Linked DNA regions of Tamandua tetradactyla. The protein of the gene in region 4 interacts with the protein of the main gene of each other region in a pairwise test. Links are inferred from orthologs where the notes say so. Each region holds a gene or a part of one and is shown on either strand. Other genes may lie near its edges. The genes, in order: NUFIP1, CYFIP2, PICK1 and FMR1.

Region 1 (7,928 bases), on a different chromosome or scaffold from region 4:
ACGAAATAAATATTTTCAAAAGAAAAAATACTGGTGAGATAACAGGTCCATAGATGTTTTAGGTATAGAAATGGACAATAACCTAATGAAATTCCTTTCAGTTATTCTGAATATCAGAAACTTAAACAGTAAAATCTGATACAGCACTGCCAACATCACTCTAACACAAGGATAATGAAACCTTGTACATCTTCTCTCACATCCTATTGCTGCTTTCCATTCTTACTGCCATTATCCAACTCTGAAACCCTGATCTTGCATATAGATTACTGTAATATTCTCCCAGATTGTCTTTCAGTTCCTAAGTTCTCTCCTCTCCAACTGATCCCATACAATGACACCAAAAATACACTCCAATCATGACACTACCCTCTCAAAAATCTACAAATGGCTTTCTGGAGTGTTCTGATGAGATTCCAGTTTATTTTTTCAGCTTGCTTTGCCTCTATAACCTTCCTCCAGAACCCTTGTACTGACATCTCTCTGTCATTACCTAGAAAGCACTTTTCCCCCCAATCCTACACCTCCTTAAGAAACTTCTTCCAAAAGCTGCTTCTTCTGCATTATGAATCACCTTTTATACGCATCTATCACCAGTCATACTTATATTGTAATTTATACATATATATGAACCTATCTCACCCAATTTAGGACGGTCTTAGCCACACATATATTTCCCCAACTGACACACAGTACTCACTGAGTGTTTAGATTTAATTTAACCTAAATTGAATTTCGTGCAATTGGAGAAATTCTGGAGAATGGTTTTATGTGAACAAGCTGATGGCATTAAATATCTTCTATATACATGCTAATGATGGCAACTTAACAGCTCCAGCCATGCATCTCTCCTGAAAGTACAGTCTCATAGCTAGCAGCTATTCAATAACTCTACTTGAATGTACATATCCAAACCCAACTCTTGTTCTTCCCTTTCAAATACATTCCATTCAGTCTTCCCCATCTCAATTTCAGCTCTTTGTCGGGAAAAAACTTAAGTTACCTTCATCTCCTCATTTCACATTCCACATCCAAACCCTCAGCATTCATACTGGCCTTATCTTCAAAATATATCTAGAATCCATCTACCTCTCATCATCCAGCTCCACCCTAGCCCACGTCCCCCAAATCTCTCCCTTGGATAACTGCAACAGCCTCCTAACTGACTGCCCTTTCAATTACATTACTCTAGCCAGACTGATCGTTTTAGAATTTGAATCAGCACATATCTCTTCCCTGAACAAAACGGGTCAACGGCTACCCACTGTAAAAGTCAAATGAAAGTTCCATCAATGGTCTACAAGGCAAACTACAAAGTCTGTCCTCTTCTACTACTCTACACTAGGCCCACTTCTCTCTAACCACCAAGGACTCCACTCTTTTCTGTATATCTTGCCTCAAGGCCTTTGCACATGTAGTTTTCTCTACCTATATCCCTTCCCCCCATAGAGCCATAATTTTGGTCGCTCACCTCTTTGAAGTCTTTGCTCAAATCCCACCTTTCTTATGAGACCATCCCCCCACCACTGTATTTAAAACTGCACTATCATTTTTATCTCTCTATATCACACTCATTGCGTTCAAATACACAATATGCTTTGTTCATTGTCTGTCCACCCTAAGATGTTAAGCTCCATAAAGAAAAAGATTTCTGCATGTTTTGTTCACTGCTATATTCCCAGTTCCCGGTACTTAGTTGAAATTCAATAAATAACTTCTAAAACGAATGGACAGAAGGAGAAAATATTCCAGCAGGACATACTGTGAGACATTAACGACCAGATTCCAAGAGTGCAGGGCAGAATCAGAAGTGCAGAAAGCGAAGGAAAGCAGAAATGGAAGGGAAAAAGAAAGGGGGCCGGTGATAGGTAAAGGGGTGATACTGTGAGGAAAAACAGCCTACCGTGAAGGTTGTGGGACTTCTGATGCTGAGGAAACGTTTCAGGAGACTGTCTCCAGTACCATGATGTCGATGCCTGGAAATTCCAGGAAGGCTGGACGTTGGGTCGAGACTGAGAATCAAGAGGAGACTGGGCATCGAAGGGGGGCTGAGCTCCGGGAAGAAGTTGAGTGTCGAAGGGGGGCGGCACCCCGGGGAGAGCGTGGGCCGCGAGGTGCGGGTGCGAATCCGAGGAAGGCTCTAACCCGACCGTGGAAGTCAAGGACGAAGACGGGGGCGGCGGCGGCTGCAGCATTGCCCAGAGCACCCAGTTGTCCCGCCGTGGGGCAGCGTTGTTCAGCGACCCCAACGCGGGGTTCAGCTGGGGAGGCGGAAAACTCCCCGGAGGAGTCAAAACTCCACCAGCCGGCTCAGCCACGCCGTCCATCAGGTCGGGAACCTAACCTATGACTTTGGCACAACCTTTAGCCGTCACTTCCGTTAGCGCGAATTGCCCAATGTAGCCAATCACAGGCCGCTATGTCATTGGTCAGCGCCGGAAAAACTTAAAGCTTTCGCAGCGCTCCGCTGGGCATTTTTCGGATAGATTTGCAGCTGCGCGAATAGAATATATTTGTGCGTGAGTAGTGTCGACCACCTCAGATGGCCAGGGACATGATCGGGCCGGCGCTGCCTCCTGGCTTCAATGCCCGCGGGACAGCCGAAGACGAGGAGCGGGACCCGAGCCCGGGTAGGCGGAGGCGTGCCCCCTTGCTGGTCCGACCCAGTAGTAAGGAGACCCCCGGGAGGGCGGAGGACCCGGGAGTGGGCGCGGCCCGACCGCAGCTGTAATTTTCCCTCCTAAGCTGTAGTAGCAAGTAGGTGGCGGTGGGGTATCCTCAGAAAACCCGTAGCGTTGCGCGAGCTTTCGTTGGGTTATCATTATGATGTTGATGTGTTCTAATTTAGCGCTAATATGAGCCGGACGCTGGGCTAAACGGTTGACTCACAGTCATTTAATCCTCCCAGAAATTATAGGAGGTGAAGACTATTACTATTCCCATATCATAAACTGGAAACCGAGGCCGAGATAGGTGCCCAGATCACAGCGTGCATGTGGTGGAGGCCGAATTAGAACAGTAGAACCCGTACTCCTAACTTCTGTGCGGTATTGTTTTCTGACGTACAAGACCTTCACAGAAAATCCTTTGTTCTCTGGCTCTACACCTGCTTCCTTAACTTCTCATTCTGTCATTGCGTCTGGCACACAGTGCTCAAACCAGACCAAATTTCTGTACAGTTATTAATATTCTAGGGTCCCTCTGACCTCTCTCTGTTGGCATATCTTAACACACCTGACAAACTCCTATCCATCCTTTAAGATCCAAATTTAAATATCCAGTTGAAGTCATTCCGAACTATCCCATGCTTTGTCACACCTTCATCTTTCCCCACAGGGTTTTTTTTCCCCTATTTAATTAAATCATATATTTAATGCAGTGTATTTAAATTATTTGTCTCCCCCACTGCACTATGGCCTTCTAGCCTTAACACATAGCCAACATTTTGTTTACCAAATAAATGCTTCTCAGACTCCTCCACGCGTATCTATCTCCTTTATTGTTTTAGCTATAGACTAGGACCGACGCTATAGTTAGAGAAAAATAATGCAGAAAGAGTAGGTCTCTCATTTCTGGATCTAATTTTTGTTGCTTGACTGCCACACAGCCATGTTTCTACCTAAAGGTTTTCCTTCCAGATCTCATTTTTGTTATAGCCACTAAAAGTCATGTTTTATTTTAGCAAAGAAGGTTGGAGAAGAGTGTGGAAACAAATTATCTGATTGGGTTCTTATATGCATGTTGTTTCTGATTCACTATATTCCCTACTTTTTTTTATGTGTCTCCCTACATTTATGTATCTCTACATCTAAACATATACCCTGAGGCAGAGATGTGATATATGTATCATAGGGAATTTTTTTTATTTTTCTTGTGTGTGGGGCGGGGAAATGCATGGTCCAGGAATCAAACCCAGGTTTGTATGACAGGCAGCTATTCTATGATTGATCTACTCGTGCACCCCCTATATTCCCTGTATTAATCTCAGGCAGGATTTGCTCCCTAAAGTACCACTGACAGGACCACTGAAATTTTTAATGGGTATCATAAATTTAAAATGTGAAAAACAAAGCTCTTGACTTTTTCCCCCATCCTCTCTTCTCTAGTCTTCCCCATATTAGAGAATGGCATGACCACCCACCTGGCTAGCCAGTGGAGCCCAAACCCTGAGCCATCTCACTTCCTCTTTTTGCCCTCAGATCCAAACCATTATCAGGTCCTTTTTGCTTTTCCTTCAAAGTATGTTGCAAATATAACATTTTTTATAAGCCTTTTTTTTTTCTAACTCACCTCCCCCCACCTCCAAACCCCTCTTATCCGCAAATTCAGGTCAAGTCTCTCCCAACTTAGAACCTCCTTACTGTGTGCTTTATCCTGTGCTAAGTGTATTACATATATTAACTAATGCATTCCTCACAAGAGTCCTCTGAAATTTGGAAATACTGCTAACTTGTTTTAACAGAAGAAAGAGTATCTCAGAAAGGTTAAGCAACTTAACCAGTTAACCCAGCTAGTAAGTGGCCAAGCTGAAATTCTAATCCAGAGTGTCTGACATGAAAGCATGCTCTGTTCCCCTTCGTACCATCCACCTTCTTCTTCTGTCATTTTGTTAACCACACTGGACTTTTTGGCCTCGAGCACATCTAGCTTATTCCCTTTTTGTAGGACTTTTCAAAAGCTGCTCCCATCTGGATGCTTTCCCTTCAGCTTGGTGCATGCCCACCAACAGCCTTCACCTCCAACAGACTTGCCCTCAAATCTCCATGTAAAATTACCCTCCTAAATATCCACTCACTTTTTCCCTATTTTCCTGTTTGCATAACAGCACTTTAACCATCTGCGCTAATATGTCTTTTTATGTTTGTTTCTCTAGAAGTATTTACCCAGTAAAGTATTTGTTGGATGGATGGATGACAATTCTTGAATGTTGGATAGTATAGTGGTTAAGGGTATAGGCTCTTGACTCCTATATTCATATCCTGGCTCCTCTCTTTAGTTGTGTGAAGTCAGACAAATTATTTAGCCTTCCTGTGCTTCAGTTACCTGTCTGTAAAATAGAAATAACAGTAACACCTCTCACGGTAACTTCTGATACCAGCTGCTGTGAAACTCTGACTGATTACCTGAAAATCAGGCCAGACTCCACAAGTTGAGCACTCAAGTCCTCAAAAGACCACTTTCATGTCAGACACCAGCTGCAAGTTCTGGGGTTCCCAGGGTCACTCTCGCTTTTGACTAACTGGCTATAAATTTGGGAGTCCCTAATTTACAAAACTCAGAAAAGTGCTATACTTAAGATTACAGTTTTATTTTACAGCAAAAGAAATACAAATCAGGACCAGCCGAAAGAAGGTATACATGGGGAGTCTAGGAGTGCCACCAAATACAAAGCTCCCATGCTTCTCTCCCCATGGAGTCTGGAAGCATCACTCTTCCAGCACACTGACATGTGTTACTACTCAGGAAAGACTCGTCCAAGTTTCAGCATCCAGAGGTTTTATTGGGATTCATGATTCAGGCATGATTGATTGAACCCATGCCCATGTGATTGAATGTAATCTCCAGCCCTCTCCTCTCCCCTGAGGTCAGGCTGATAGGGCATGGTCTATCATGGGAAATTCCAGAGATTTAGAGGATATCTCCCAAGAACCAGGTGCAAAGGCCAGCCAAGTTCTTTATTATACAATACCTCTCTAATAATGTCAAATTAAATAGGTTAGTTCATATGAATTTCTTAAAATCACATATAATGCATAAGAACCCAAAACATGTTATTTTCCTTTTATTTATTAAGTTATCATTGAACATATGGCATATCTGAGAAGCTCTTTAAGAAATCATATTTCAGGTGGGCCACGGTGGCTCAGCAGGCAAGAATGCATGCCTGCCATGCCAGAAGACCCAAGTTCGATTCCCAGTGCCTGCCCATGTAAAATAAATAAAATAAATAAAGTCTTTTTTAAAAATAAATAAACAAATAAAAAATCATATTTCCAGTTCTGACTCAGACCAACTCAATCAGAATCCCTGGGGAAATGGCTTAGGAATCTTTTAAAAAATATATATTTTAGTGGTTCTTGAAAAGCATCCAGACTTGGAAATTATGGCAAAAGACTTTATTTATAATTACCTATCAGTTCACCATTATGGTGGTCTTTATTTCTTATTCCATTTTGATCTACATTGGCAATAGTAACATACATACAAAGCAAAGAAAGGAAAAAAGTAATAATTTTCAAAGTGCTCTTCAACAAGTAGTTATAAGACAGATTCCAGAGTTTGTCATGGGCTACCATACCATTATCTCACATTTTTCCTTCTACCTGCTCCAGAACATTGGCGGTTAAAAGGAATAAATACTTTTTTATCATCACAATTGACTTTTTTTTTCTTTTTTGTGAAAAATGAAATACATACAAAAAAGCAATGAATTTCAAAGCACGACACTTTGAACAACAACATTTCAGAGTTTTGTATGGGTTACAATTCTGCAATTTTAGGTTTTTACTTCTACCTGCTCTAAGATACTGGAGACTAAAAGAAATATCAGTATAATGATTTAGCAATCATACTCTTTTGTTAAACCCTATCTTCTCTTTATAAGTCCACCATCATCTTTGATCTTTCTGTCCTGCTCTTTAAGGGTGTTTGGGCTATGGCCATTTTAACTTTCTCATGTTGGAAGGACTATCAGTAATATGGGATAGGGAGATGGAATCTTATACATTGCCCTAGGTAGTCATTAGGATTAGCTTGAATGGTTTTGGTTGGGGTATGGCACATTATGATAGGTAGCAATATTTAACTGAAACTTGAAGCTTATGTAAGAGGGACCTCCAGAGTAGTCTCTCGGCTCTATTTGAACTCTCTCACCCCTCTAATACCTTATTTGTTACACTTTTTTCCCCCTTTTGGTCAGGATGGCTTTGTTGATGCCATGGAGCCAGGGCCATACTCATCCCTGAGAGTCATCTCCCATGCCGCCAGGAAGAATTTCACCCCTGGATGTCATGTCCCACATAGGGAATAGGGCAATGATTTCACTTGCAGAATTGGGCTTAGAGAGAATTGAGGCCACATCTGAGCAAGAGATGAGGTCCTCCAGAAGTAACTCTTAGGCCTACCTCTGGTAGGCTAAGCTTCTCTGCTGCATACATAAACTTCATAAGAGGAAGCCTCAAGATCAGGTGTTTGGCCTATATGTGGCAATAGACTTTTTTGTGGCATGGACGGGCTCCAGGAATCAGACCCGCGTCTCCCACATGGCGGGCAAGAATTCTGCCACTGAGCCACCATTGCCCTCCTGGCAGTAGACCTTTAGTATTACTACTCAGGATCAACACAGAAGTTGTGTCTCTATGACTTGACAACATCATGGAGTGACGTCATATAATAATTTGTAATTTGCTGGGGTATAACAAGAGAGCAGGTCACTTTGGTGAGTGGGCCTAAGGGACTTTTAACAAAGTCCCCAACATCCCACCCACCCCAGTACAATCTCTTTCTCTTCTGTTCATCTCTACTAGTAAGCAGTAAAACTTAAAAGTGATTCTGACTTTATTTCTGCTTAAATTGTCTTGAAAGAACACTAACTGATTGGTATGGTGATGCCAGTAAAGATTTTCTTTTTAATTAGAAACCAGAATGGATATTTTTATGTTTGATATATTAGAGTATGAAATAGTCAACTTGTTGGTCTGGTTTGCTTGGTAGTGTAATTTTGTCTACCATATGCTATCTATAAAGGAAAAAAATCATTTAGCTATTTTGGCAAGTGTACCAAACAATGAAAAAAATTGCATGTTGCTGGGGAAATTATATGCTATATTTATATTTATAAATCAGGTATTAGTGTTCTTGTGAATATCCTAGTTATGCTAAGATATGATTTCTGCTTTCCCTAAGCAAGAATATAATTGGAAATGCAA
Region 2 (6,859 bases), on a different chromosome or scaffold from region 4:
GAGGGAACTGCAATGTTCCAGCCACAATGCAGTTCTCGGCTTTTCATCTATAAAATAACAAAATCTTAGGATTTTGTGAGAATGCAGTGCAATGAGGCCATCCATATAAAGTACTTAGCACAAACACTGGCCCCATATAAACATTCAATAAATGTTAGTTTAAAATATACGCTTTAGGGTGGGCCATGGTGGCTCAGCAGGCAGAATTCTTGCCTGCCATGCTGGAGACCCGGGTTCAATTCCCAGTGCCCAGCCATGCAAAAAAAAAAAAAAAAAATATATATATATATATATATGTATATATTCTTTAATAAATTATTTCAGATTCAAAGACAGTGGCAGGCAACCCTTTGGTTTCCCATGGAAGGACCTGGGGTCTGAGTTCAGCCCTGCCTTGGATAACATCCTCTTTTAGGCCTCAGTTCTTTCACCTGTAAAATGAGGCAATTTTGAGCAAATGGTCAGGTTTTATCTAATGGGCAATGTGAATTGTGTAACTGACCATGAGTTTCTCTTTTCCTGCTAACCACAAGAATGTACAGAACAAAAAATGTGTAAGCTTATTGTAGCAAGACCATGGCATATAATTTTTGTACTATTCACATTTTTCTTTCCATCTCTTTTTGAATTTTTTCTCTTCTTTCTTTTTGCTATTAATTTTTTAGCTGTTTTTAACTTTTAATTTAATGCATCCTTATGAGTTGCATTAAATATGTTTTGGGGAAAAGTGTTGATAAATATCTGGATTTGGTTTGGAAGAGGGGACATGGGGATGCTTATAATAGCAGTCAAAGCATCAGTGTTGGTTTCACTATAGGGGGCAAGTTATTTAACCTGTCTTAGTTTCCTCAGTTATAAAATAGGACTAATGATCATATTTTCCTCATGGGACTACTGTGAAAAATCAAATGGGGTAATGCACTGGTATAGCTTAGCCATAATTGTTATTTACATTTTCTCTCTCCAGAACGAATTCCCATGTCCTTTCCAGATACGCCACTGCTGGCTTCTAATAAGCAGGGTCTGCTGATGGTTTTTAAATGCAGACAACCTAGATGTTCCAAGTACTGTGAGCCTTTTCTAAAACCAAGGCCATGTTGCTTCACATGGAACCACAAGGCATGAGCCAAAGTTTTGCAAGTGGCAGAGCAATTCTCACTTGGTAGCTGCAATTTTCTTATTGCTGAGGGTGCAAATCAGTGTGGGACTTGAAGGAAATAAGAAGGCAGTACACAGACAGCTACAAATTTCACTGACAAAGTGGAAAATAACATTTCTTCTATCAATTATTCATGTAGGCCATTTTGATTACATTCCCATCATCTACCAATCTCTGTGCTAGGATTGGAGGACACAGTGGGGAGCAAGGCAGACCCAGTCCCTTGTCTCTTAGATTGTATGGTCTCATGATGGATGCAGGCAAGCAAATCAGCAATTGTGACACAGCATAATAAAAGTCATGATAGAGAAGTCCAGGATAGAGACACCTACCCAAGGCATGGAGGGATCACAGGTGGCTTCTTGGAGGAGGTAACATCTTTGTGGATAACCAACAGATGAAGAGGAGTAGATAGGCAAACTGGGGAAAATTGTAGAAGAGAGAGAAAAGGAGCTTTCTAAGCAAAAAGCTCAGCTCGGGCAAAGACCAAAGACAAGAGAAAATACAGCAAATTGTGGGAACTAAGAGACTTAGTATTTATTTTTTTTCTCTTCTTCTTTCTTGGGGGGAGGGTGAGGTGCATGGTCTGGGAATTGAACCCAGGTCTCCTGTATGGAAGGCAAGCATTTTACCACTGAACCACCTGTGCACCCCAAGTTGGGGAAACTAGAAGAAATTTCTTTTAGCTGAAACATAGTGAGCATGTCACAAGTAGAAAAGATTGGAAAGGCAGGGGCCAAATTATGAAGTCCATGATAGACCATGGCAAGGAGTTTGGGCTTCATCCCGAGAACAGTGGGGACTACTGACGTGCTTTAAGCCAGGAAAGGATCTGTCCTTTGTTTTTAACTCATGCAATTTTCCACATGTAGGAACTTTGTAGCAAAGCCAACTCACTGCATTTTATAGATGGAGAAACAGGTCACTCTTCTATTAGTTGCAAAACTAGGACCAAAAGACAAATCTCTGCATTTCTAGCAAAATGGTTTCAATCAAACCATATGGCTTCTCCTTTATACGTATATAGAATTCATGGGTCAGGGAATAATTGTTGCCTAAGATCTAACCAAGTATGCATGCAATGATATTCTTTGTTTTTAAGCAATTTATTCTGATTGGTGAAAAGACAAGGAAGGAACAGCAGGGTGAGCTATGTCTTCCAGAAAAAGAAAACATCCAAAATAATATGTCTTTTAGAATGAAATCCATTTTATTAGGATTCTCATTGTTAAGTCCTGGTAATTACTGATACTCAAAAATCCCAAGGATCAAGGTTGAAAACAATTTTTTTTAAAAAAACGAAACTTTACTTCCGTTCTTAAAATCATCCCCCACAAACTCCCCCACAGCTTTCTCACATGGCATCAGGGACAGAAATGTGTGTGTGTGTGTGTGTGTGTGTGTGTGTATGTGTATGTCATCCTTCTGAAATAGGGATTTAAATCAGAATGAGTAACGTAATATCAAATTACCAAGGATTATGAATTCTGTGCACTTGGGAATTATGCAAAATCAGCAAGGGCAAAGACTTACATAAGGTCTTTTCTGATCCTTGAACAGTGTGGCTCCTCTATAAATATCCCTTAATAGGAATAGCAGAGTGATAAAGTATAAATTTGTGAATCCTAGGCAAACATTTAAGAAAGGTCTCCTTGAAACAAGACTTTATCCCTTATATCTGTATACACTTTAAAATGTCTCAAATGCATTCAAATTACTTACCTGTGAGTGAGGAGGGGCATCTCGTGACACAGCAGTGAATTGACTGGCCTGGAGTCTCAAGGCTAGGACAAGCAAGGCTCAGCCTGACTTGAATCTGGTCTGAAGGTCCACCAGGCTGCATCTCAATGAAAATTGTTTCTTTGGAAAGCCATAAATTTCCAGAGAAATTTAAAAGAGAAGGGTGGGTACACATCCTCTCAGTTGCTATTGGGCCCCCAGGCATTGCCAGGAAGGTTTCCTGTTACCGTATTTTTGCTTTTTGTTCACTAGCCAATTCTAACTGGATGAAGCTGGGGCACGCTGGTGCTTAAGAGGTAACAATTTCAGGGATTCTGCCCAAAGTGACTGAAAGAGGGTAGGGGAAATTATTCCGGAGCAAAGGAGCAGCATTAGGGACTAGCCTCAACTAGTGTGATTGCCGCCCTCCCCATCAACTCCCAGGTTTATTTTCTATCATTTCACCCTATTCCTTTTCTTTCCAGTCCTTCTCCCAGATGTAATTTATGCCCATCTCTTCTGGTAGAGATAAGCTCCAAGAGGGCAGGGACCCTGTCTTCTATACACCAGTGCATACCCAGTTCCTGGCACGGGGCTTGAAACAAAATTGGTGCTCAGTGAAGGCTGGTTAAATAAATGAGCACTTGGGAATAATGTGAGAATAATGAAATTCGAACGGGTCCGAGCTTGCGATCCCCCATTGCTGTAGCGTGGGTCCCAGGAAATGGGGGACATGGGGTAAAAACATCCCTCCCTTTTCCTCCCCGGCAGCAGGGCGGCAGGATGGCCTGGGAACCCGACTGGTCCTCGTGAGATGCACGCTAGGGGTACCGAGAGCCCTTCGCCGCAGCCATTTCCTGCTCTTTGTGTGACAGCCGCGGTGGCAACCGGGCCGGGCACCGGGAGGGAGGCGGAGCGCGGCTGGCGGCGGGGCGGGGCCCGGGGCGGGGCCGAGCGGGGCCGCCAGCAGAGCGGAGCCCGGCAGAGCATCCTGCGCCCCGGCGTGGGGCCCTGCCGTAGCCTCGGGCCCTGGCCCTGGACCTGCCGCAAACCCAGGTAAGCGCCATTCCCCGGCCTGGGGACCCAATCCGGGGTCGGGATGCTGATGGTGACCGGGATGCGGCCGTGAGGACGCGCGAAGAGCCGGCATCTTATCTCCCAGCCCGTGGAGGGCACTGGGCGCCGCGCCCGGGTTAGCGGCCTGGGGGCTCCCCGGCAGTCCCCGGAGTCCGGGCCCCGGGCCCGGGGCGCCTCCCTTAGCTCTCCGGCCCAGCTTGGGCCGCACGCGCCGGCCCTCTGCAAGGACGCGCGGGCGCACGGCGGAGCTCGGGCGCGGCGGCCCCAGTAGCAGCAGGTGCGCGGCCTGGGCCGTAGCCGCCTGCGGGAGAGGAGGCGGCGCTAAACCTGAGGACCCGAGACACCTGCAGCGGCCGCCAGCACCGCTGCGGCGACATCCTTGCGCCCAGGTGCCGCGGGCCGCCTCCGCCGGGGCCACCGTCACCTCCCCCAGGGCCAGCGAGACCAGCCTGGGCCCGCCTGGTAGCTGCCTCGGGCACCGAGCGCCCTGCGGTGAATGTGAGATGGGTGGGGCGAGGGGCGAAGCGGAGACGTTTGGGAGTGGGGCGCTTTCATGAGAAGAGGAGGCACCACCCTTCTGACCCGCTTTGAAGCCTACTGGCCTACCGGATCCTCTCTCGCCCGGCCGCGTGGGGGCGGGGGAGGAGGTGGGGAGAATGCAATGAGGGGGCTGACTCCTGGGAGAAAGGTTGGGTTTTCTGAGCTCTGAAGAACCAGGAAGATGCCTACCTGTCTAACTACCTAGTAGCTTCCTCTGGTCAGGAACAGCCCTTCCCCTCAGTGGGTAAGCCGGCCTATTTATAAAGGAGGAGAAGGGGGTGCAGTGGTTTTGGGGTGGGGGCCGGTATGGTCCAGCGGGGCCTGAAGAATAGCTAGGAGAAGGATGGGGCTGGGAAGAACACTGGGAGTGCCCAGGTGCCCAGTCCCAGCCCAGGCAATCTGACTTTGACCTCTGCCTGCCTGTTTTCCCCAGCAGGGTGGAAACTCACTCAGGCTGATGGGCAGTCAGCTCCCCTTCCTATCAGCTCCTGGCTGTCTGCACCTTCACAGGTGGGCAGGGAGGCTGGAGCAGTCCTGCTGGCATGAGAGGCAAATCAGGAGAGTGTTGACGCCCGCGTTCCCCTCTGCCACCTCCCGCCTGCATCCCCTGTAAGGCAGCGGATCTCAGCATACTCTTGACCACAGGTCACGTTGCAAGTTGGGTCCCAGAGCCCTCAGATCTTGGAGGGTGAAAATCTAGGTCCATATTCTTGGTCAAGATTGTGAAGGCCTTGAAGTCTTCTCCACCACCAGACCCCTTCTCTATGGACTCCCACCCCCACTTGCGTAAATGCCCTGTGTTTCCCCGGTTCTCCCAAGTCAAAGTTCTCCCAAGTCAAAATTTGTGAACCTGTTCCTTCTGAAGAGCTTAAATACAAAAGACTTCCTCACTTGATTAAGAGCAGGTGCTTGAGAAGTCATTTGACTAGAAAGGAAACAAAGGGTGGAGACATTTTAATGGGAAACGAAGCTCTAAGTGAAAATATTGACATCTCTAATGGTGGAATTTCAGACAGCAGGCTGGAAATGTGGGGGGGGGTGGGGGGCAGCTGTCCCTGAAATGACAGCCTCTAGCAGCTTTCAGCTCTGTGTACTTGCAAGGGCAGTTTTGGCCCTGAGGGCAGGAATATGTAGGAGTGTATGCATGTCTGGTCAGAGTCATTGTCACCAGGAGACATCTGTTGAGCACCCAGTGTCCACTTGTGGGAGGTGAAACTTCCTATAGAGAACTACAGGTCGGCACTGGCTGCCACATGCTGGGCAGTTCCCAGCCACCAGAAGAGTATGTTGTTGCTTTCCAAGCTGGTGTCTCTGCTCACTCAGTGCCAGTGCACTGAGCCTCTGGCTGGGATCGGGAGCTCTCTGCTCACTAAGCTTCTTTATTATGTTTCCTGGCCAGTTCTGACTGGTTCCGGAGGCACCCAAGCCTGCCTTGTTCAGTCCCTGCTGGAAAATGGAAAAGGAAAAAAAGCTTGCTTTAGGCATTAGGCCAAGATTACTGACTTCCCAGAGTGGGTATAAAATCCACTAGGGTTGGAGAGTTTTTCTCAGATTCGATCTGAGGCTGGCCCAGAGAAGTAAATAGATATGAATATAAAAACTAGAAAAGGGCCCAGGGAGATTACTGCATGTCCCCTCTGATATATCGTGTCCTCTCAGGTGTTCAGTGGGCCTCTGCTGCTGTCATTGACCAGCAAGTAGAATTAGGTGGTGAAAAGGCAACAAGCTAATCAACGTTGGGGACACACTCCTGGAAAACAGAGCAGGGCTCTAGTTTTCATGTTTCAGGATTGGCCTGCATGCTCAAAGAGGTTTATTTGGGCCACTTTTGGCCTTGGGGTTCCACCAAGAACTTCACAAAATGGTGACCTCCATGTGGTCACCATAACAATGAGTCTATTTTTTTTTTTTTCTGGCACGTATTAATTATTCACTTGGTAGTTGATGAAACCAGACATCAGTCACCTCATTAGAGTTTTTGTGAAAGGCCTTTGGTCTTTTCATTCCAAGAAGCAAAGCCATGTCTCAGGTCCAGAGATGGACCCTGTGTCAGTACTGGAGGTGGTGGGAGAGGGTGGCGGGTGCTGCTGGCTTCTAGGCAGTGATGTGGGAGGTCAGCTGTGGTGGAGAAGGAGCTGACACTTAATTGGATGCTCCTGTTAAATGAGAGATTCGCAAGCATGCTAAGCAGAGTGTCTAGCATACAGTACTATTTTTGTTATAATATATTGATTACATAATCATTAAGAATTTGGCTTAAATATGTTTAACCCATAGCGCTTACCAACCCTCTACCACCAGAGCTTTCCTGAATTTTTGCTTTATGAAGGGAACTGGTCTCTGACCAAGAAACCCAGCTCCAGG
Region 3 (7,994 bases), on a different chromosome or scaffold from region 4:
CTTTGATAAAATTAAAACTTTAACTTTTCAAAATCAACTGCATTATTTTTATAATCACAGTTCATCCTAAACAAACCTGGGCCTAGCACTGCCTCACACCCCTGAGAAGTGGGGAGGGAGATGGCAGGAAACACTGAGCAAATGCGTGCAAGGAGCCCAGGCCTGGAGGAGGCCTCCCCAACACCTACCCCTTGTTCATAGGAGGCAAAATGGCTCCTTGCAGAGGCAAGAGCAGGTCCTAGGAATTTCACTTCTCAGGGCCTAGAACTGACCTTTTTAACCCCTTTGCAAGTTCCTCAGAGGAACCTCAGTGTTCCTGTCTGCTGGCTATGACTACTTAGCTGAGAGGGTTAGCACACAGTAGAATCAAGATCAAGTTTACAGGGTAGGACATGATGGCCCAGTGGCAAAGTTCTCGCCTGCCATGCCGGAGACCTGGGTTCGATTCCCGGTGCCTGCCCATGTTTTAAAAAAAGATCAAGTTTACAGGCTCAAACTGTTTGAGGATGCAAGCTTCCTTCCAAGGGTAGAAAGATCGCCAACTCTGCCTAGCCATGTGGGGTACAGGAAGGCTAGCAGCAGGACTGGCCTCACTCTTAACCCCTGGAAAATGAGCTATTGCCATAAAAATAGCAATGGCAACTACCTAGTCAGTGCTTACTATATGCCCGGCATTGTGCTGTGTCGTTTTACTCAATCTTCATGACAACCTAAAGATGTACATACCTACATATTTAACACTCCTATCTTCCAAGTGAGGAGAGCGAGGCACAGAAAGGTTAAGGAGGGGAGCTTGCATTTGAATTCAGTCCATTATATCATAGTCTTTCCACTCCACTTAGGCTAGTACCTAAGGCTGCATGTTTTGTTGCTATTTATTAAATGTCCACTATATACCAGGCACTAAGCCAGATGCTCACTGCAGTGAGCAGCAAACAGGGACCCTGCCTCAGAGTACACGGAGACAGGCAGAGTAGCTAGAGATAGAACAAGTAACCAACAGATGATCACAGATGGCGATAAGTGAAGGAAAAGGACAGACTGAAACGATAGAGAAAACCTGAGTACTTAGAGGGAGTAGTTGGGAAGGCCTCTCTGTGGAAGCCAGACCTCAAGAATGAGGAGTCAGCTCTGCCGAATGGAGAAATGAACCTGCCAAGTAAGGAGACAGCTTACCCTTCCAGGACCTCATCCCCACTTCCAGAGTGCCCAGTACCTGGACGATATAGAGGCAGGGACAGTACTGGGCCCCTCCACCAATGCTGATCCCAATCAGGTTCTGAGCATCCTTCTGCAAGGTCACCTTTCCCGGCACAGTGGGGATCCCGCTAGAAAAAGAAGCATGGGAAGCTGAATCTTCTAGAAGAAGGACAACTGGAAGGGACAGGGCAGGGGATATGCCCACCAACATCCCCAAGAGGCTCCAACTGCAGCACAGCCTTTTCTCTCCTTACTTGGCCAGAAAGACAGTGTTTTGTTCTGGAAAGTACACAGCTTTTAGAGTCATGCAGATGTGGGATCAAATCTCAGCTCTGCCCCTTATCGGTAAAGGGACTTAAGTCACCCTCTCTGCATCTCAGCTTCCTCACCCAGAAAATGAGAATGAGACCAGTTTATCAGAGTTCATGTGGGGAAGAGAATGGAAGGCACTTAACACCAACCCAGTACATAGCAGAGGCTCCATAAAAGTAGGTTTCCCTTCCACCGCCCTCATTCTACCTCTGAGACTTGATTCAGGGTCTGTCCTTGTCACCTTCCCAGACTCATACAGAACCATTTCGTCAGGGAAGTGGAAAACTACCCACATGCCATCTTCAATTACTCTACATCTATAGTTTTCACTATAAATTGGCATTTCTTGACGTTTTATGGTAAACAGTCTCATTTAATCACTTACTCATTCACAAAACATTTGCTAACCTCCTTTTTTAGGTAAAGTACCTTACTAAATACTGACGACACAGAAAGGCACTGGACCCTGTCCTGGCTCTCAGACAAACCTAATCTTCAAAACTCTTGATGAATCTATTGTCTAGGTCAGGGAGGGAGGTATGGTTATGATATTCCTATTCATCCTTCAAAACCTGCCTCAATTGCCACCTCCTCTGTGAAGCCTTCCCTGAACACCCCAACAGAAGCACTGCTCCATCAGCTCTGCTTTCCTTCTACCCAGGTCATTCTCCTTAGAGGTCTTAAGGCCCTGAATTGTAAGTATGGTGGGCTCCTGGAAAGGTAGAGTCCCTTTCTGCTACAGCACAAGACCTGACTCATCGCTAAGAAGCAAGGGTTGGTGGAATGGGAAAGTCCAGGTATCTGAGCGACTGGGGTTCCTGAATTCCTGGGACTTGAGGGAACAAAATACTCACAGTTTATCTTCCTCGATGTCATAATCCAAGTCTGCAAACATGGTTCCGAGGGATGGAATGGGCTGATAAACAGCCCAGCTCGGGAAAGGAACGGGAAACTGAATCCGGGAGAGAAAGGAGGGTAGGGTTTGGGGAACCGTGGCGCCGGATGCAGAAGCCAACCCCAACCCTAATGCCAACCCCGCAAATCCGGGAGGGCCAGGCTCTCTGCTTCCCCTCAGGACGGAGCGTCCACAGGGTTGGGGTGGGGGGGTTGGTGATTCTTACTAGGTACAGGGGGGGTCTCCAGGCCAGGGCGGTGGGCTCACGTCCCGAAGCCCGCCCCACGGGTCTCCAGGGCCTCGGGGACTGCCTCTGTCGCTCGCCGGAAGCGTCGGCCCCACAGCCGAGTCCGGGCCAGGCTGGCACCTGTACCCACCTGCGGTTCCACCTGTCGGCGGCTGCGACTGTCGCGTCACTTCCGGCAAGGCGCGGAAGTCCCGCCTTTCCCCTCTTCAGGGTACTGGCCCCCAATTCCTGCAGGCAACCCTTCCTTCCTTTTCTGTCTGGGCTCCCAGAACCAGAAAAGAAAATAAGTATGGGCGGAGACTCGCCGCTGAGGCTAAAGAAGCGGAAACAGAGGGAAGGTCTGATCGGGTAGAAAACGCTCAGCCCCGCCCCTTATCCTGTTGCCGCCGCCATCTTGGTGAGGGCAAGGTTTTTCCCAGCTCCTTGGGTAGGATACAGGGCCCCACGCCTGCCAGGCGGTTGCCGTGCCAACGGAGCATCCTGTCCTGCTGCGAAGTTCAGTGCACTATAAATCAAAGACTTACCTTTCACACCTAAAGCCCCGAGTCCCAGGCCAAGCCTGGTGACTTCTCTACTACAATAACAACGTCAGAGCTGGAAAGGCGCGTCGAGATCCTAGCCCAACTCTAGCTTTGCGGACTAGAAAACTAAGTTCCAGAGAGGGAAGGAGATTTTACCCAGAGCACCCAGAGTTGCTATGAGATCCAGATCTTGACTCTGAGACGCCTGCCGCCTAATCCAGTGCCCTTTTAACATTTGCACTAAACTGGGAGTCAGGATCGCTGTATTCTGTGGGTCTGCGGCTAAGGATGGATTGGACCGTCTTCCTTTACATGCCTCGGTTTCCCCGTATGCTACCTAAGAGTGCTGAATTAGGTGATTTCTATGGCCTCCTTCACTTCTAGACCATGGTATCTGATGCGTTTTGACATCCTCACCTCCTTCCTTAGTCCTGAGGAGCAGCTCCCTGAGGGCCCAGTGGGGGCCACAGCCCCTGTGTACCTGAGGCTCAATAAACGCCATCAGTGATTACCAGCCGAGAAGTCCAAATCTCGTCTCCCTGCCAACCTCCGCTGCCACTGCTATTATTGTAAAGTGGGTTCCCTGGAGGAGGTCAGCTCTCCTAGAGCTGCAGCCCTGGCATCCACCTCATCTGGGAAGCACAGGCCGGGTTTGCCCAGCTTCCTCCCCTAGATGCACCCAGGGCCATGAAGGAAGGACAGATGCAGAGGGATGATAATCCACACATCCCACAGCCTGATGGAAGTCCCACTCAACCCCTCCTTAGGGACCTAATCTGCGTTGCAGCTGCACTAGCAACAACTTCCTATGTACCTCCTGCTCTGCAGCTCCCATTCACCAGATTTTAGAATTCACCATACATTTTTTTATTCAATCAGCATTTTTTATTAATTAAAAAAATTAACTAACACAACATTTAGAAATCATTCCATTCTACATATACAATCAGTAATTCTTAATATCATCACATACATGCATATTCATCGTTTCTTAGTACATTTGCATCGATTTAGAAAAAGAAATAGAAAGACAACAGAAAAAGAAATAAAATGATAATAGAGAGAAAAAAAGAAAAAAAGAAGAAAAAAAAACTATACCTCAGATGCAGCTTCATTCAGTGTTTTAACCTAATTACATTACAATTAGTTAGTATTGTGCTGTCCATTTCTGAGTTTTTGTATCCAGTCCTGTTGCACAGTCTGTATCCCTTCAGCTCCAATTACCCATTATCTTACCCTATTTCTATCTCCTGATGGTCTCTGTTACCAATGACATATTCCAAGTTTATTCTCTAATGTCGGTTCACATCAGTGGGACCATTCAGTATTTGTCCTTTAGTTTTCGGCTAGTCTCACTCAGCATAATGTTCTCTAGGTCCATCCATGTTATTACATGCTTCATAAGTTTATTCTGTCTTAAAGCTGCATAATATTCCATCGTATGTATATACCACAGTTTGTTTAGCCACTCGTCTGTTGATGGACATTTTGGCTGTTTCCATCTCTTTGCAATTGTAAATAATGCTGCTATAAACATTGGTGCGCAAATGTCCGTTTGTGTCTTTGCCCTTAAGTCCTCTGAGTAGATACCTAGCAATGGTATTGCTGGGTCGTATGGCAATTCTATATTCAGCTTTTTGAGGAACCGCCAAACTGCCTTCCACAGTGGTTGCACCATTTGACATTCCCACCAACAGTGGATAAGTGTGCCTCTTTCTCCACATCCTCTCCAGCACTTGTCATTTTCTGTTTTGTTGATAATGGCCATTCTGGTGGGTGTGAGATGATATCTCATTGTGGTTTTGATTTGCATTTCTCTAATGGCCAAGGACATTGAGCATCTCTTCATGTGCCTTTTGGCCATTTGTATTTCCTCTTCTGAGAGGTGTCTGTTCAAGTCTTTTTCCCATTTTGTAATTGGGTTGGCTGTCTTTTTGTTGTTGAGTTGAACAATCTCTTTATAAATTCTGGATACTAGACCTTTATCTGATATGTCGTTTCCAAATATTGTCTCCCATTGTGTAGGCTGTCTTTCTACTTTCTTGATGAAGTTCTTTGATGCACAAAAGTGTTTAATTTTGAGGCGCTCCCATTTATTTACTTCCTTCTTCAGTGCTCTTGCTTTAGGTTTAAGGTCCATAAAACCGCTTCCAATTGTAAGTTTCATAAGATATCTCCCTACATTTTCCTCTAACTGTTTTATGGTCTTAGACTTAATGTTTAGATCTTTGATCCATTTTGAGTTAACTTTTGTATAGGGTGTGAGATACGGGTCCTCTTTCATTCTTTTGCATATGGATATCCAGTTCTCTAGGCACCATTTATTGAAGAGACTGTTCTGTCCCAGGTGAGTTGGCTTGACTGCCTTATCAAAGATCAAATGTCCGTAGATGAGAGGGTCTATATCTGAGCACTCTATTCAATTCCATTGGTCGATATATCTATCTTTATGCCAATACCATGCTGTTTTGACCACTGTGGCTTCATAATATGCCTTAAAGTCCGGCAGCGCAAGACCTCCAGCTTCGTTTTTTTTTCCTCAAGATGTTTTTTGCAATTCGGGGCACCCTGCCCTTCCAGATAAATTTGCTTATTGGTTTTTCTATTTCTGAAAAATAAGTTGTTGGGATTTTGATTGGTATTGCGTTAAATCTGTAAATCAATTTAGGTAGAATTGACATCTTAACTATATTTAGTCTTCCAATCCATGAACACGGTATGCGCTTCCATCTATTTAGGTCTTCTGTGATTTCTTTTAACAGTTTCTTGTAGTTTTCTTTGTATAGGTCTTTTGTCTCGTTAGTTAAATTTTTTCCTAAGTATTTTATTCTTTTAGTTGCAATTGTAAATGGAATTCGTTTCTTGATTTCCCCCTCAGCTTGTTCATTGCTAGTGTATAGAAACACTGCAGATTTTTGAATGTTGATCTTGTAACCTGCTACTTTGCTGTACTCATTTATTAGCTCTAGTAGTTTTGCTGTGGATTTTTCAGGGTTTTCAACGTATAGTATCATATCATCTGCAAACAGTGATAGTTTTACTTCTTCCTTTCCAATTTTGATGCCTTGTATTTCTTTTTCTTGTCTAATTGCTCTGGCTAGAACTTCCAACACAATGCTGAATAACAGTGGTGATAGTGGACATCCTTGTCTTGTTCCTGATCTTAGGGGGAAAGTTTTCAATTTTTCCCCATTGAAGATGATATTAGCTGTGGGTTTTTCATATATTCCCTCTATCATTTTAAGGAGGTTCCCTTGTATTCCTATCCTTTGAAGTGTTTTCAACAGGAAAGGATGTTGAATCTTGTCAAATGCCTTCTCTGCATCAATTGAGATGATCATGTGATTTTTCTGCTTTGATTTGTTGATATGGTATATTACATTAATTGATTTTCTTATGTTGAACCATCCTTGCATACCTGGGATGAATCCTACTTGGTCATGATGTATAATTCTTTTAATGTGTTGCTGGATTCGATTTGCTAGAATTCTGTTGAGGATTTTTGCATCTATATTCATTAGAGAGATTGGCCTGTAGTTTTCTTTTTTTGTAATATCTTTGCCTGTTTTGGGTATGAGGGTGATGTTGGCTTCATAGAATGAATTAGGTAGCTTTCCCTCCACTTCAGTTTTTTTGAAGAGTTTGAGCAGGGTTGGTACTAATTCTTTCTGAAATGTTTGTTAGAATTCACATGTGAAGCCGTCTGGTCCTGGACTTTTCTTTTTGGGAGGCTTTTGAATGACTGATTCAATTTTTTTACTTGTGATTGGTTTGTTGAGGTCATCTATTTCTTCTTGAGTCAAAGTTGGTTGTTCATGCCTTTCTAGGAACTTGTCCATTTCATCTACATTTTTGTATTTATTAGCATAGAGTTGTTCATAGTATCCTGTTATTACCTCTTTTATTTCTGTGGGGTCAGTGGTTATGTCTCCTCTTCCATTTCTGATCCTATTTATTTGCATCCTCTCTCTTCTTCTTTTTGTCAATCTTGCTAAGGGCCCATCAATCTTGTTGATTTTCTCATAGAACCAACTTCTAGTCTTATTGATTTTCTCTATTGTTTTCATGTTCTCAATTTCATTTATTTCTGCTCTAATCTTTGTTATTTCTTTCCTTTTGCTTGCTTTGGGGTTAGTTTGCTGTTCTTTCTCCAGTTCTTCCAAGTGGACAGTTAATTTCCGAATTTTTGCCCTTTCTTCTTTTTTGATATAGGCATTTAGGGCAATAAATTTCCCTCTTAGCACTGCCTTTGCTGCGTCCCATACATTTTAATACACTATGCACCGGATCGCTGAGGATAAAACCTTACAAGGAGATGAACAAGGAAGCAAGCAATAACAACTGAAAGAGGCAAGTACAGTGTACTAAGAGACCACAGAAAAGAATCATCCTGGAACAAAGATTTAGGGGAACAAAGGTAGGAATGAAGAGGAGACAAATTATATATATATATATTTGGCTTATTTGGCTATAAAAGCCACAGGACTCTCTGGGCTTTTTTGATGAGAATAAAGAATGAATCTGAGGTCTCTAGCTGTGACTCCAAAGGAAATGGTCTCAGTAGCTGTTGGAGCAGGCTAAGACTACCTGCCCTATCACCAACTTTTACTTTTTTTTTTTTTTTGCCAGGGGGAGGGGGTGCATGGTCCAAGAATTGAACCCGGTCTCCTGCATGGAAGGTCTGTCACTAACTTTTGATTCATTAACAACTTGGTCAAAAGTGAAATTCCAAGCCTGGAGCCCTCTAGTGAAGGGAAGTGTGAGTGCCTGGCTGGATTGGTGTGGAGTAAGGAAACACATAAGAAATTGCTCTATTGTC
Region 4 (6,906 bases):
TTTTATTTCTAAAATGGAGTTAATTCATTACTATTCCCAACACATCAAAACTCCCAGTCCAAAGAAACTACATTACTTTGGGCAGATGCCCCTAGAATAAAGATCCTACCTCAATATTATTTACATAGGAAATTCTTTGTAAAGATTTTGTAAGGTATAATTCAAAGTGTCATGTCTTAAATAATGTAAGGTTCTATAAGTGGTACACATGATTTTTTTTTCCTAAGTCAAAGAAATATGCGAGCAAAAAGTAGTGGCACTGATAATTACTTCCATTTTCAAGTATTTAAGAAAAAACACAAGGGGGAAAATATAGTGGACTGTAACCATCTTAACAGTTTGGGTTTCATGGTTATGTTAATTTTGAATCCTGAGCTTGAGTTATTTTCTAGAGAAAAAATAAAACCGTTACCAATGTATAAGCTATCTAGTTTATATCACAAACTTGGACCACGTGCTCAGAAGATGGAAAACTGTCCTTTGCAATGTGGTGGGTAGGAAAATCAAAGTTTGTATTCAATTATACCAAAGTCATTGATTTGCTGATACTTTCTAAAGGCTTTTCTATCAATTTGATGAATAAGTTTCCTGTTTTTCTTCATAAATACAACATAGTGCTCCATAGTATTCATTTTTGATTGGTCTTTATTTCCCATCTTTCCTGTCCAGCCCTAGGACATAATAATGACAAGCAACTATTTACTGTTGCTCTACTTTTAAAACTACAGCAATATTCCGAGTCTGATAAAAATGGACAATTTTTTTTCATTATAGAAATATTTTTCATCTACACAGATCATTTGAGGTTTTGTTAAAGTTAAATCTTAATTAAAGGAACACAACAGCAATTTCTCTACAGACATTTGTTCAAGTTTTACCTTTCCCGTCAAGGAACTAAGGAACAATCCATTCTTTTTCATTCACCCTCAAATCAGGCTACTTTGTTAAAAAACAAAAACCAATAAGGGGTGGGGAGCTTAATAGCAAAGACGTAAGGCATTTCTTATATTCCACCCAGTTTGTAAGCAAAAATCACTGGAGCAAATCATGTGTTGCTAGAAGAGAACAATAAATGCTTCAAGACCAGGATATGCCACTTGGCCCCTTTAGTGAACTAGCAAACCCCACTAAGACAACAAGAGCAGCATCCAACAAGAGTGGCATTCAAACATCATTTAGACTACTGCTCAACCATTAGACCCTACTTATATGTATATTATGGTTAGCTCCACAAATCTAGAGATCAAAACTACAAATCCTGGAGCCAGAATTACTGTACACAAATCAACTAGTAGAAGTAATGGATCACCAAAATAAATGCAACTGAAATTTTGATGGCAGGGTCAACTGAAACAATTTTATATTGATGACACTCTGTTAAGAATATAAATGCTGGGCTGTTTCACAGCCTCCTTTTACAACAAAACTGGAGTCTACAGACCTTACTCATTTATAAACTATATCTACCTCTAAATTCCTGTTAAATTGGGAAACATCTAAGTCAAATACTTTAAGTCAACTGCTTGCTTTCCTTTGGCCAGATAAGTTCCGTTTGAAACGTTAAAGCTAACCTAGAATCAATTTATGAATTGTGTTGGACAATGGCAATAACTAATTCCAGGCTTCCTTCCATGTGCACCGTCTACTGACAAAATACTGTAGTAAGGTGGGATATTACAGAAGTTATACAGATATAACCAAGCGGAAAGGAAAATTTACAGATTAATAGATCTACAGTAAATACCTACCAACAAACGCACTACTGATAATCAAAATATTATTTTTAATCTTGTCTTTTAAAAATGTAAGATACTAGTTGATCCAACAATGGTGTAACTTAAAAAAACAATCCACAGCACTCATTAGTATCTATTCAAAACCTACACAAAACAGTCCTCTGCAGCATTACAATTCAAAGAGAAGAGAGTTAAATACTTAGAGGGCAAAACAAATTATTTCCAAACACTCGAATTTTAAAAATTCCCTAGTAATAACGTACTCTCAATTAATTTTCTGAAGTTTTATGGTATATATTCAGGTCTTTGGGGGCTTCATATTCTTTATTCTTTTAACTAGCAGGGTTGTTTAGATGCTTTAGCATCAGTATTCCTGAATTTACCCACCTTAAAAAAGAAAAAAACTGGGGGGGGGGGGCGAAGATGAAAGAGGAGCAACTTCTTCTGCAATGCCTTGCCCAGATATGTTAGGGTCTTTTTGAAACTTTGGAGTCTTAACATCTCTTCCGAAATCCACAAAGAGCGACCACTAAAAATCAGTTGCCATTGTGATTTGGTGCTGACTATAAGCTTCTTACTACTCTTTACTCACACCCCTTGCCCAGAACGGCGGAGCTCTCCGAAGTCCCAATGCTGGACCGGAAAAGAGAAGCCAAAGGAGACCTTAAAACCTCTTTACAAGGCAAGAGACGGCCCGACAGAAGCGCCCGCCGCTTCTCAACAAATACCCACACATCGGGCCTGGATCCCATCGGGAGAGGACATTCAGGAAAAGAGACATAAGCCGTCGCCGTCACTTCGCGCGGATTCTGGCCCTTCCCGCCGGGATCTTGTACCTGCAGCCAGCCCGGGCCCACCCCCAGCTCTCCCCGGCCGGGTGGCTTTGGCCCCGAAAGGGAGCCTTCTCCGTGCGGGTTTCTCCTTCCTCCAGGCGCCGGGGCCTCTCGCAGGAGAAGGAGCGGGGCTAAGGGGCGTCCTGCAGGCCCCGAGTCCGGTCCTTCCCTCCCAAACAAGATCCCGCTGAGCGCGCCCCGGCCCCGGGCGTCAGGCTCGGGAAGAGGGCCCCAGGCCTGCCTCCCGCCGAGCAGAGAAGAAAAGAGAGGGAAGGGAGGGCGACGATGGGGCCTGCCTGAGAGCCAAGTACCTTGTAGAAAGCGCCATTGGAGCCCCGCACTTCCACCACCAGCTCCTCCATCTTCTCGTCGCCCCTGCTTGCGCCGGGAGCCCGCCCCCGGGAGGTGGGCTGCAGGCGCTCAAGGCCCAGCCGCCGCCGCCGCCGCCGCGCTCCCGCACGCCCCTCGGCAGCGGCGCCGCCGTCACCGCCCGCGCTCGCCGTCGGCTCGCCGCCCGCTCTGAGGCGGCCCCTCACCGGAAGTGAAACCGAAACGGAGCCGAACGCCTGACTGAGGCCCAGCGCCGGGCAGCTTCGCGTGTAAACAGTCAAGCGGCGTCACGTGACCCACACCCCCATCTCCCCGCCCCCCCCCCACTGCCGCCCCCCCCACCGCGGGCTCGGCCCCTCAGCCCCGCCCTTTCCCTCCGCGCGGCCTGGAGCGCGCGCGCATGCGCGATGCTGGGAACCGACCGGGGTTCCGGGCCCGACGTAGGGCGCGCGGGCTCGGCGTGCGCTGGGAATGACGGAGGGCGGGAAGGCGGGAAGGCGGGAAGGGCGGTGATGGGCCGTGCAGCTAGAGGAGGTCGCGTCGCTTTGCCAGTGCCTCCTTCCGTACTGGGGCATGCGGAGGCGTGGGAAAGGACCCCTTGAGCGATAGACTGCATTCATGGGTTGGAGGTGGACGGGTTGTTTTATTTTATGTTTTAAGCAAGTCCAAGCCTGATGGAGCTGGAGGTGGACTGGGTGGGTGGGGAGGGAGAGAATAAGATTGAAGCAAACCGTGAACTGCTCACAGCGGCAACCACGTTAACCCAGGCTTGTGTGATTCTCAGAGGCAGAGAAGTGAGAGTAACGCCCACCACCTCCTTCCTTGAGAGTCTGGGCTGACCTGGGACTGCTATCCCTACGTTCCTTGACCTGTAATGGATTGTGTCAGGACCTCTGGGAATTTTAGTCCGCTCTCAGACCCAAAACTGACCCACATACTCCCCGTCCTTCAATTAGTTTCATTTTTTACGTGACGTTAAAAAAGAAGAATGCGCCAATCATTTTCTTTTTTATAGTTCACTTCCGCCCCTAATGTATGTTCACCCAGTACCAGAGGGTGTGGTGGGCATGTTTGTAGCACAGGGGATCTGTGTACAGGGACCTTGCTCGACTTGTTAACTTGCAACTGCCTCTCTCCTTCGCTTCTTACAGTAAAACAAATCCCAGCGTTCTCGCTCCTGACTCACAGTGGTGCTGGTTTCCACCTGACACGTGTTGCCTTTGTCTGGGACGCTTGGATTCAAAGTAGAGGTTTACTGAGCGCCTACCACCGTGTGCTGAGCACTGTGCTGAGTGCTGGTGATACACTGGTTAACGACAACAATAAAAAAAGACTGTCAGCATTGAACTTGGGACCTAGATGAACATCAAAGTCAAATGATCAAAAAGGCAAAGGTGTGATAGGAGCTATGAAGAATAGGTTCACCTATGATAGTGGGGCATGAACCAGCCTGGGATGGGGGACGGGTGGCCAGGGAAGGGGAAACGACTGGAGCTGGAATGTGAGGGGTGTGTTAACTGGTAGATGGATAGCACCGAGCTGGGGGAGGGCGGCGAACTGCCCCAGGCAGGTGTCGGAGAATGCGAGGCATCCTTGGGCCTCCACTTTCTTTCCCACCCCACTACCAGCCAGAGGAGCAGCCAGTCCTGGTGGAGATCCAGCTTTAAAGCAGCTGATCTGAGGGCCACACTCCTTTGAGGAAAGATCTCCTGGACTAGGGTCTCTAGAGTCGTCACAGATGCGAAGACCCCATCGGGCTGTCCTGTCGTAGGCTGGATGGGAGCAGTGCGGTATCTTGAACTTCAATGTTGTAAAAGACATGTTGATTTCGAACGATTATACTTTCCACGCGTAAACTGCTGCTCAATTTACCCGGTGCTTTCAAATGTATCAGCTCTTCACAACCACCTTTCCTCCCAGCCACCCTGATTCTGGACCTATGATACATTTTCATGCACATACTTCCTGTCCCCTAGAATACCCTGCCCCTTACCCTTCCTTATCAGCTGGATTTCTGTTAGTAGCTAATTTACCTCAGGGGAAGAGTTAATTTTTCTCCTCAATTCTCTGCACATTGTCATCATTAGTCCCTGCAAGGATCCTCTCTTGTTTATATTACTTAATATGGTTTATATGATTTTTCCTTGTCATCTTCAATCTTTGTACTCCTTCTTCTAGGCACCCGCATCGATGTGTTTGTGATAGATCCTTGGTAATTTAAAGCTTGCAGTGCTTTATGAATGCCCTTTCCATTTACAGAAATACTATTGGATTGTGAGTCTCTGTTTCCCACTTTTCACACTCAACACTGTTTTTTTTGAGCTGTAGCCACATTGCTGTGTATACATCTAGTTTGTTGTCTCCAATTGCTGCTGAGTATTCTATAAATTTTACTTATAGCTTTCCCTAGTGATGGGCATCTAGGTTGCCACCTACACACTCCAGTGCCACACTGGGATGGAAAAAAAAAAACTCTCCTGTGAACGCCTTTATAAACCGTTGCAAAAATTCCTTTTGTGCTCTTATAGAACATTGCACATACTGCCTGCTTCCTCATCACACCCCTTGGCATATAGCTGGACCCAGTAACTATTGAATACCCCTACTGTGATACCTAAGGTACTGGAATTACTTGTTTATATTTGTTTCCCTTAATGGGCTATGAGTTTCCTCAAAGCAGAAAACTTATCTTTGTGTCCCTGGGACACAAGTGATTGATTTCAATAGCTGTTACATTTACTAACATCAGGTCTACAACAGAGTCATTTTGACTTTTGTTCTTTCATGCTCTGCATATGATCCATCAGCAGATCCTTTCTGAGTCCAGAATCTAATTACCACAACTTCCACTGCTAAAACCAGGGTCCAAGCCCCTACGTACCCTCTCTTCCTGGATTACTACAATCACTTCCTCCTCGTTGGTCTCTCTGCTGCGGCTCTTGAAGACAGAGTGACCTTGTTCAGGTGTCAGTCAAGTCACTATACTACTCAAACTCTCCAATGTTTCCTAAATCCTTCAGAGTAGAAGTCAAAGTCCTTATTTATTCCAGCCTCAATGCCCTGCACAGCCTGGTCCCTGTTACATCTTCTACCTCACTTTCTACCTTTTCTCCCCTTACCCCGCTCCATTCCAGCCACACTGGCTTCCTTGCTGATTCTTGAACACACAAAGCCTTTCTGTCTCTTCTCACTAGAGTGTAAGTTCTTTGAGAGGAGAGGTTTTCTTTGTTTTATTCACGGCTGCGTCCTCCGTGCCTAACACAGAGTCCAGAACATAGTAGGTGCTTGCTCAATATTTGGTGAGTGAATGAATGAAGTGTCGATGAGAACCTGGCTCCGGGCAAGTCTGCTCCCTTACCTATATTTATCAGATACCAGGATGCTGCTTCAGCTCTTCTGGCCCTGTCTTGGCCCCTAGCCTCCATGAAATAGCTTCCTGTTGTCTTTGCATTGATTTATTCTGTGTTGTTTCCTGCTCCTTAGCAATTTGAGCCCTCCGAGTCTTTGTTCTTGCTGTAATCCCAGCTGGAAATGCTCTCTGCCCTTTCCAACTTTAGAAGGTCTATGTATCCTTCAGGGCCCAGCCAAAGTCTTACTTTTTTCATGACACTTTCTCTGACGATTTCTCCTCACCTTGACCTCTCGTTTGAACTTGATGTCAGAAACATAATTTAATTAATAGACTTTCTTTTTTATATTTATTGAAAACCTGAGCCAGGTAGTACAAAGAGTTCTTGAATATTCCTGGAACCCCTCCCCATACTCACAGTTTCCCATATTGTTAACATCTTGCATTAATGAGCCAATATTGGAACATTGCTTTTAACTGAGTCCATCGTTTACATTAAGGTTCACTCTTTGTGTTATACAATTCAATGGGTTTTAACAAATGTATAATGTCATATATCTGCCATTAAAATATCGTTCATGATAGCTTCACAGCCCTAAAAATGCCCTGTGCTTCCCCTAGTCATTACCTTCCTTTACCCCGCCCTACAAACTTGTGG

What was found.
Region 1: the proteins of FMR1 (region 4) and NUFIP1 interact in a two-hybrid assay, tested with the Homo sapiens proteins (2 studies listed by BioGRID). The link is inferred for Tamandua tetradactyla from reciprocal best matches to the Homo sapiens genes FMR1 and NUFIP1.
Region 2: the proteins of FMR1 (region 4) and CYFIP2 interact in a two-hybrid assay, tested with the Homo sapiens proteins (2 studies listed by BioGRID and IntAct). The link is inferred for Tamandua tetradactyla from reciprocal best matches to the Homo sapiens genes FMR1 and CYFIP2.
Region 3: the proteins of FMR1 (region 4) and PICK1 interact in a two-hybrid assay, tested with the Homo sapiens proteins (2 studies listed by BioGRID and IntAct). The link is inferred for Tamandua tetradactyla from reciprocal best matches to the Homo sapiens genes FMR1 and PICK1.

What each region holds. Positions count from the first base shown.
Region 1 is NC_135330.1:113,890,594-113,898,521, reverse strand, and holds the start of NUFIP1 (FMR1-interacting protein NUFIP1), read right to left. Parts: upstream 3,009-7,928; 5' UTR 2,631-3,008; coding exon of another isoform or gene 2,543-2,630; 5' UTR 2,328-2,542; coding exon 1,904-2,327; intron 1-1,903. Other genes in the region: GPALPP1 (GPALPP motifs-containing protein 1), read left to right, coding at 2,543-2,630. UniProt on the Homo sapiens protein: Binds RNA.
Region 2 is NC_135346.1:38,357,407-38,364,265, forward strand, and holds the start of CYFIP2 (cytoplasmic FMR1-interacting protein 2), read left to right. Parts: upstream 1-3,846; 5' UTR 3,847-3,934; intron 3,935-6,859. UniProt on the Homo sapiens protein: Involved in T-cell adhesion and p53/TP53-dependent induction of apoptosis. Does not bind RNA. As component of the WAVE1 complex, required for BDNF-NTRK2 endocytic trafficking and signaling from early endosomes.
Region 3 is NC_135333.1:30,396,004-30,403,997, reverse strand, and holds the start of PICK1 (PRKCA-binding protein), read right to left. Parts: upstream 3,001-7,994; 5' UTR 2,785-3,000; intron 2,779-2,784; exon of another isoform or gene 2,634-2,778; intron 2,465-2,633; 5' UTR 2,408-2,464; coding exon 2,367-2,407; intron 1,329-2,366; coding exon 1,217-1,328; intron 1-1,216. UniProt on the Homo sapiens protein: Probable adapter protein that bind to and organize the subcellular localization of a variety of membrane proteins containing some PDZ recognition sequence.
Region 4 is NC_135353.1:9,407,038-9,413,943, forward strand, and holds the start of FMR1 (fragile X messenger ribonucleoprotein 1), read right to left. Parts: upstream 3,005-6,906; 5' UTR 2,932-3,004; coding exon 2,881-2,931; intron 1-2,880.